2 linked regions of the Mus musculus genome follow. The protein of the gene in region 1 purifies or fractionates together with the protein of each later gene. This does not show direct contact. Links are inferred from orthologs where the notes say so. Each region holds a gene or a part of one and is shown on either strand. Other genes may lie near its edges. The genes, in order: Foxm1 and Mybl2.

The links.
Region 2: the proteins of Foxm1 (region 1) and Mybl2 purify together in Homo sapiens (affinity purification with western blotting; 3 studies listed by BioGRID and IntAct, with this or other methods). This does not show direct contact. The link is inferred for Mus musculus from reciprocal best matches to the Homo sapiens genes FOXM1 and MYBL2.

What each region holds. Positions count from the first base shown.
Region 1 is NC_000072.6:128,365,896-128,369,711, forward strand, and holds part of Foxm1 (forkhead box protein M1), read left to right. Parts: coding exon 1-305; intron 306-1,391; coding exon 1,392-1,543; intron 1,544-3,398; coding exon 3,399-3,590; intron 3,591-3,816. UniProt on the Homo sapiens protein: Transcription factor regulating the expression of cell cycle genes essential for DNA replication and mitosis. Plays a role in the control of cell proliferation. Also plays a role in DNA break repair, participating in the DNA damage checkpoint response.
Region 2 is NC_000068.7:163,068,070-163,071,885, forward strand, and holds part of Mybl2 (myb-related protein B), read left to right. Parts: intron 1-20; exon of another isoform or gene 21-86; coding exon 87-246; intron 247-3,816. UniProt on the Homo sapiens protein: Transcription factor involved in the regulation of cell survival, proliferation, and differentiation. Transactivates the expression of the CLU gene.

The sequences.
Region 1 (3,816 bases):
TATCAACCACCCCACCACGCCCAACACACAAGTGGTGGCCATCCCCAGCAACGCTGATATCCAGAGCATCATCACAGCGCTAACTGCCAAAGGGAAGGAGAGCGGCAGCAGCGGGCCCAACCGGTTCATCCTCATCAGCTCTGGGGGGCCCTCCTCTCACCCTTCCCAGCCTCAAGCCCACAGCAGCCGGGATTCCAAGAGAGCAGAGGTGATCACGGAGACGTTGGGACCGAAGCCAGCAGCTAAGGGTGTGCCTGTTCCCAAGCCTCCTGGAGCCCCTCCAAGGCAAAGACAGGAGAGCTATGGTATGTGCTCTGCCAGGCAGATGGGTATGGAGGTTGGCCTCTCTCATCACTGGAAAGGTCTTCAGTCAGTCATGCTGATGTCTGGTAGACAGGTTCTAGGTGAAGGCTTTTGGTTTTTGGCCCCTTAATGTAGCATTACTATGCTCTCTTTATGTTGGAAAAGGGTTGGTTGGTTGGTTGGTTCATTCTTTGTGTTGACATGTGTCTTGGTGACTGTTCTGTTACTCTAAAGACACACCATGACCAAAGCAACTCTTATAACAGAAAGCATCTTTTGCTTACACTTCCAGAGGTTTAGTCCATTATCAACATGGTAGGAAGCATGGCGGCAGGCAGGCAGGCACTGGAGCAGTAGCTGAGAGTTACATCCTGATCTGGGCCAAGAGAGGCAGAGAGACCCTGGGCCTGGCATGGGCTTTTGAAACCCCAAAGCCCCCACCCCCACTGGCGCACTTCCTCTAACAATGCCACACGCCCTAATACTTCTCATACTTTAAATATCACTCACTGGTGACTAAGCGTTCAAATATGTGCCTATGTGGGCCATTCTTTTTATTTTTTTAAATTTATTTTATTATATGTAAGTACACTGTAGCTGTCTTCAGACACTCCAGAAGAGGGCATCAGATTTCGTTATGGATGGTTGTGAGCCACCATGTGGTTGCTGGGATTTGAACTCCGGACCTTCGGAAGAGCAGTCGGCGCTCTTAACCACTGAGCCATCTCGCCAGCCCCCCTATGTGGGCCATTCTTATTCACTCCTGTAAAGAATTGAGTTTCCATTTTCAAGTAATAAACTGAAGCCCAGGGAAGAAAAGTGACTTTTTTGTGTAGTTCTCCAAAATTTGCTTTTACAGATGCCTACGGTCCCTTCTGGCTCATTGAAAGGCAATTTGTTATTCATAAATGTCTCCTGAAGTCCATAGTGGAGCAGAATAACTTAGAGCCACAACGATTTACCATGCATTCGTTCCCTGTCCCTTAGAGTACAGGTCTTAGAGGGGTTATTCCCAGCCATTGATTTTGGTAGAGCTGCCGGGCATCTGAAGAGGCTGCTAATGGAGCCTTGGGTTATTTTCCCTCTAGCTGGTGGTGAGGCGGCAGGCTGCACGCTGGACAACAGCTTAACCAATATCCAGTGGCTTGGAAAGATGAGTTCTGACGGGCTGGGCCCCTGCAGCGTTAAGCAGGAACTGGAAGAGAAGGAGAATTGTCACCTGGAGCAGAATCGGGTTAAGGTGAGCTATTCTGTCACTCATTCGGGAAGACGGAACTAAAACAGGGAATTTCTAAGACAAGAAATGGAGCAAGGAGCTACTGGAACAACATCCAAGTTCTGTTAGCACTACTTAAGGCTTTTCTATGTAATGTTTCTTTGTTTTGTTTTGACTTTTCCAGACAAGGTTTCTCTGTGTAGCCCTGGCTGTCCTGGAACTCACTCTGTAGACCAGGCTGGCCTCGAACTTAGAAATCCACCTGCCTCTGCCTCCCAAGTACTGGAATTAAAGGTGAGCGCCACCACTACCCGATCATAATGTTTCTTTTAAATATTGTTCTTTTGGAGGTATTGGAGAGTGAACCCAAAGCCAAATACTACATAAGACTATGTGCCACCAGGGCGGTGGTGGTGATGCCCGCCTTTAAGGGAGGCAGTGGCAGGCCTGGTCTGCAGAGTGAGCTCCGTGACAGCCAGGGCTACACAGAGAAACCCTGATTCAAGTGAGACAGGGTACTACTAAGCTACATTTCCAGCCCTTTTTAGTTTTACTTTGAAGCAGGGTCTAGCTAACACTGACCTTGCTTGGGCCCTCCTGCCTCTGCCCCTGAGTAACTAGGATTATATGTGCCACCACAGCCTCCTCGATGACTTCTGAGTGACTTTACTGTCTGGGACCTCTCACTTTCCCCATCGTTGTTCATTAAAGGCATAATCCTGGCTTTGTATTTCTCTAGTACTGGGTTTAGTGGCCCTTTGTAAATATTCAGGAAATGATGAAGAGTCGCGGTTAAAGAAGCCACTTGGACTTTTAAAGTGGCTTCCCAGCAGTACAAATCGAATGTAGCATCGTTAACACAACAGTTTTATTAGGAGATACACTGTTATATTAATAGCAAAGTAAATTCTATAGGAATGTTATTTGTATTAATTAAACTATATATTTAAACATATATCTGGACTTGTAAAACTATATCTCAAATTTTTAAACTGAATGATCAGATCTTTGTCTAAGACTCGTCCAAGTGTGTCTTTTGTAAGCATTTTCCCACAATTTTGACAGTTTCTTCTATACCTACACTGAGACAAGGTGGGCCTTACGTCTCATCAGGACTACATGTGGATCTCAGACCTAAGTCCTTTGACCTGCAAGTCTGAAAATTCATACAAATTATTGTGCGGATCCCAGCTAGAGAATCTACTGGAAGAGACCTCATTTGGTTTTTGCTTTTGAAATAGGATCTTATGTAACCTGGGATAGCTTAGAAAAGACTAGCTGAGGGTGACCTTAAACTCTTGCTCGTCCTGCCTCAACTCCTCCAGTGCAGAAAGTACAGATATATGCCACCATGACCCGTTTTTCCTTATGTGGTGCTGGAGATCAAACCCAGGCCTTCATGCATATCGATCGGGCAAGCACCCCATCAGACTGAGCCATGCCCCAGCCTCAGGCTTCCCAGGCAATTTACTTTGAGGAAAAGGATGGAAGGGAATCCGTTCCTAATTGGTTGGGGCCCAGACAAACTAATTAAACTTTAATTCCATTACAAAATAATGGTCTCAAATGAGTTTGTTTCTGTTATCCCCTAGAGCAGTGATTTTTCAACCTGTGGGTCATGACCTCTTTGGGGTTGCATGTTAAGTATCCTGAATATCAGATATTTACATTAGAACTGTCACAGTAGCAAAGGTACAGTTATGAACTAGCAACGAAGGCAGTTTCATGGTTCGGGGTCACCACGTGAAGAGCTGTCTATTAAAGGGTCAGGTAGGAAGTTCTGGAGGATGTTCTCAATGGGTCTGGGGTGGGGAGTGGGTCTCGTAAACTTCCCTGTCATTCTCTCTTCTCTTTCCCTTTGGCTTCTCTCACCCTACAGGTTGAGGAGCCCTCAGGAGTGTCAACATCTTGGCAGGACTCTGTGTCTGAGAGGCCACCCTACTCTTATATGGCCATGATACAGTTTGCCATCAACAGCACTGAGAGAAAGCGCATGACCTTGAAGGACATCTACACTTGGATTGAGGACCACTTCCCTTACTTTAAGCACATTGCCAAGCCAGGCTGGAAGGTACTCTGTCCATAGCCAATGTCAAGGCCATTCTGGTCTGTTTCTCATGATGCTTTAGGTTGTGTCCTAATGAGAGACAGCAAAGGAGCGGTGAGCCAGTGGCCCCGAGATTAATGTCCTGTAACATCAAGTGGACGTGGCCTTCTCCTTTTCTTTCTTGTTTTGAGACAGTCTCAATTCATGCTCTAAGCTGACCTCAGACATATAAACTTCCTGTTTCAACCTT
Region 2 (3,816 bases), on another chromosome or scaffold:
CTGTGTCCAGCCCTTCACGTTCAGGTGTGGGGAGAAGCTGCGGCAGCCGAGAGCTGCGTGTCAGAGGCCCCGGGTTTTCCCCACAGGACGGACAATGCTGTGAAGAATCACTGGAACTCCACTATCAAAAGGAAAGTCGACACGGGAGGTTTCCCAGCCGAGTCCAGGGACTGCAAGCCTGTCTACTTGCTCCTGGAGCTGGAGGACAAGGAACAGCACCAGGGTGTCCAGCCGGTGGACGGCCAGGTGAGTGCTGGGCGGTCTTGCGCTCTGGCTCCGGGCTCCACAAGCTGGCTCTGGGCTGCCGCTTGTGGGTTGGTTTGCTTTGTTTCCTGGTCATCTGACCCTATCTCCCCAAGAACTTCCCCAGAGCCACCCACCCATTTCTGCTCTAGGGTCTGAGAGTGAGTGAGTGAGTGTGGCCAGCACGTTTCTAGAACTTAACTTGTGACAAATCAACCCTAGTTCTCTTTCAGGCGAAGTGAGCAGCATGATGGGTAACTGAGAACGGGCTGGGGAGGGGTTCTCAGCCTCTGTCCTCAGCAACTGTCTTCTTGTCAACCTGCCCATGTGGAGGTCAGAGGACAATTCATGGTGACTCATATTTTCTTTCCTTTTTTTGGTGATGTGTGTGGCGGGGTGTCTTGAGACAGGCTCTTTCTATGTAGCTCTGTCTGTCCTGGAATGTGCTATGCAGGCCAGGTTGGCCTAAGACTGCCACCCAGGTCCTGGGATTAAAGGAAGACATGGACCGCCATGTTTGTTCTGCCTTCAGAGACCAATGTGTAGGAGTTGGCTCTCTCCTGCCATGAGTTTCCACTCGTTCTACCTGCTGAGCCATCTCACCAGCCCACGTTTCCAGTTATAGAGTTATGTATTACATGTGTATATGTGTGCTGTGGGTACGTAGGAGCCCACAGAGATCAGAGGAGAACATCAGATCCCTTGAAACTGAAGTTCGCTCCATGAAGGTTCTGGGAACTGAACATGGGTCCTCTGCAAGAGTAGTAAATATTGTTAATTGCTGAGTGGTCTAGCTCCTTGTTGGCCATCTTTTTTTTTTTAATGGCATTAATTTTAAAAATATATTGAGACATAAGATATCTTGGCATATATTCTGAATTAGGATAATCCTATAAAAGCACATTGGTGCATTTCTAGCTGCGTAAACCACGACAAGTAAGATTTCCACATTAGTATCTCCCCAGAATCCTTTGTGTTTTTCTGTCAGATTTTAAGGCCCGCTATCTCCCATACGCTATCTGTTTTCCATCTATCACAGTTTGTGATGGTATGTATATCTTTGGACCAGGGAGTGGCGCCATCTGGAGGTGTGGCCTTGTTGGAATAGGTGTGACTTGGTTGGAGTAGGTGTGTCACTGTGGGTGTGGGCTTAAGACTCTCACCCCAGTTGCCTGGAAGTCAGTCTTCCACTAGCAGCCTTTGGATGAAGACATAGAACTCTCAGCTCTGCCTGCGCCATGCCTGCCTGGATGCTGCCATGCTCCCACCTTGATGATAATGGACTGAACCTCTGAACCTGTAAGCCAGCCCCAATTAAATGTCGTTTTTATAAGGCTTGCCTTGGTCATGGTGTCTGCTCACAGCAGTAAAACCCTAACCAAGACACAGTTATAAACAGTGAAACTGATAGGTGTGTGTGCTAAATCGCCACTCCCCAAACAACTACATTTTCCCCTTGTGTCCGTATATGTGTGAGTGTGAGCACGTGTTAGAGGTCAAAGGGAAACTTTTGGCTGTCGGTTCTCTCCTACCTTGGATTCTGGAAATTGAACCCTGGGTGTAGGGCTTGGGTAACAAACACTCACCCGCTCAGCCATCTTTCCTCATCCTAGCCACACATTCCTGGTTTTTTTTGGAGACAGAGTCTTTTACCCAGGCTCAAACTTCCTGTGTAGTTGAGGCTAGCCTTCAGCTTCTGGTCTTCTCCATGTAAGGTCAAATGCATATGCACTGCACATGCCCAGTTTATTTGGTGCTGGGGGTTAAATGTAGCAGTACTAGGGCTGTCTAGAGGAACAGCTTATGAACTGAATATATATGTATATGTGTGTATGTGTACTTATGCATAATATATATAAATCCATATTATACATATAAAATGGAGGTTTATTATAATGTCTTACAAGCAAGCTCTGGTCCAGTTTGTCCAAGAATCCGGTAGTTGTTCAGTCCACAAGACTGAATGTCTCAGATGATCTTCATTATACACTGGAATTCTGAAGTAGGCTCTCATGCCAGTGGAGGTATGGACTTGCCAGCCAGAGTGAGGGCAAGCTGGCAAAGAAAGCAAGCTTCCTTCTTCCGTGTCTTCTAGAGGCTGCCAGCAGGTGGGGCCCAGGTTAAAGGAAGGTCTTCCAACCATAAAAGATCTGGGTTAAAAGTGATTTTTTTCCTATTTTAAAGATTTAATTAAGAAAAATTCCTCAGGAGTGGACCCAGCTCCTTGGGTTTCAGTTAATTCCAGATGTGGTCAAGTTGACACCCAAGAAGAGCACCCAAGAAGAGCTGTCTCGTAGGGCTTCCTGCAAGGCAAGCAAGCACTCAACCAGCTGAAGGCATCACATTGTAAACTGTCTGCAGTGATTTGTGTTTTACATGTAAATCTAAACCAAGAGGTCAAGAAACTGATTTTTTTTTTTAAATGTAAGATTGGAAACAAAGATGACACTGGGAAGATTTCACAGTGAACGGTCCCCTTCTGCTTTCTGTGAGCTGAGGTAGTCAGTGGCATGTGTGTTTGTGTCGTAGTTCGGGTTTTACTGCTATGAACAGACACCAGGACCAAGGCAACGCTGATAGGACAACATTTGTAAGGCTTACAGGTTTAGAGGTTCAGTCCATTATCAAGGCGGGAACATGGCAGCATCCAGGCAGGCACCGTTCAGGAGTTGCTGGGAGTTCTACAGTCTTCATCTGAAGGCTGTTAGCAGAATACTAACTTCCAAGCAGCTAGGATGAGGGTCTTAAAGCCCACGCCCACAATGACACACATACTCCAACAAGACCACACTTTGGGGGGGGTGGTTTTTGTTTTTTTGTTTTTTCAAGACAGGGTTTCTCTATATAGTCCTGGCTGTCCTGGAACTCACTTTGTAGACCAGGCTGGCCTTGAACTTAGAAATTCGCCTGCCTCTGCCTCCCAAAGAGGTGCTGGGATTAAAGGTGCGCCACCACACCCAGCAAGACCACACACTTCTAAATGTGCCACTCTCTGGGCGGAGCACATACAGACCCATCACAGTTTGTTTTGTACCCTTTAATTTGTTCTTTAGTTTCAAAGTAATTTATACACACTATATTGTAACATATCCCTCTTACTGCTTAGTGGAGATTGGCTTCTTGTTCCACCTGCTAGAGATGGGTTTGGCCCCCTGCTGACAAACGCAGCTATGTAGGGGTATGACATAGGTGTGGAAAGAGAGGGGGAAGAGAGTAAAGGGGTGTATGTCTCTTCGTCCTAATTCCCCAGAGGTCTCCTCACTTCTGGCAGTGTCCTTGATTTCTGTCACAGCTTTGGGATAAAGTATGTTGTGTTTTCAGATTCTATACTGAGCACCCTGAAGAGTTTCAGGGAGCGTGCATGGAGTCTCCATCCCATTTCTAAAGGGCCTTGCTTGCCCTTGCTCCCTCCCACAGGCCTGCAACCCCAGGGCTCAGCTCAGTTAACCATTTGCCTGATCTATGCCTACTTACTGCATTGCTTCTGTGTGTCCTGTTTACTTTATCTTGGCCGGGTGCTGGGGCCCATGCCCTTAGCCCCATCACCCCAGAGGCAGAAGCTGGTCAACAAAG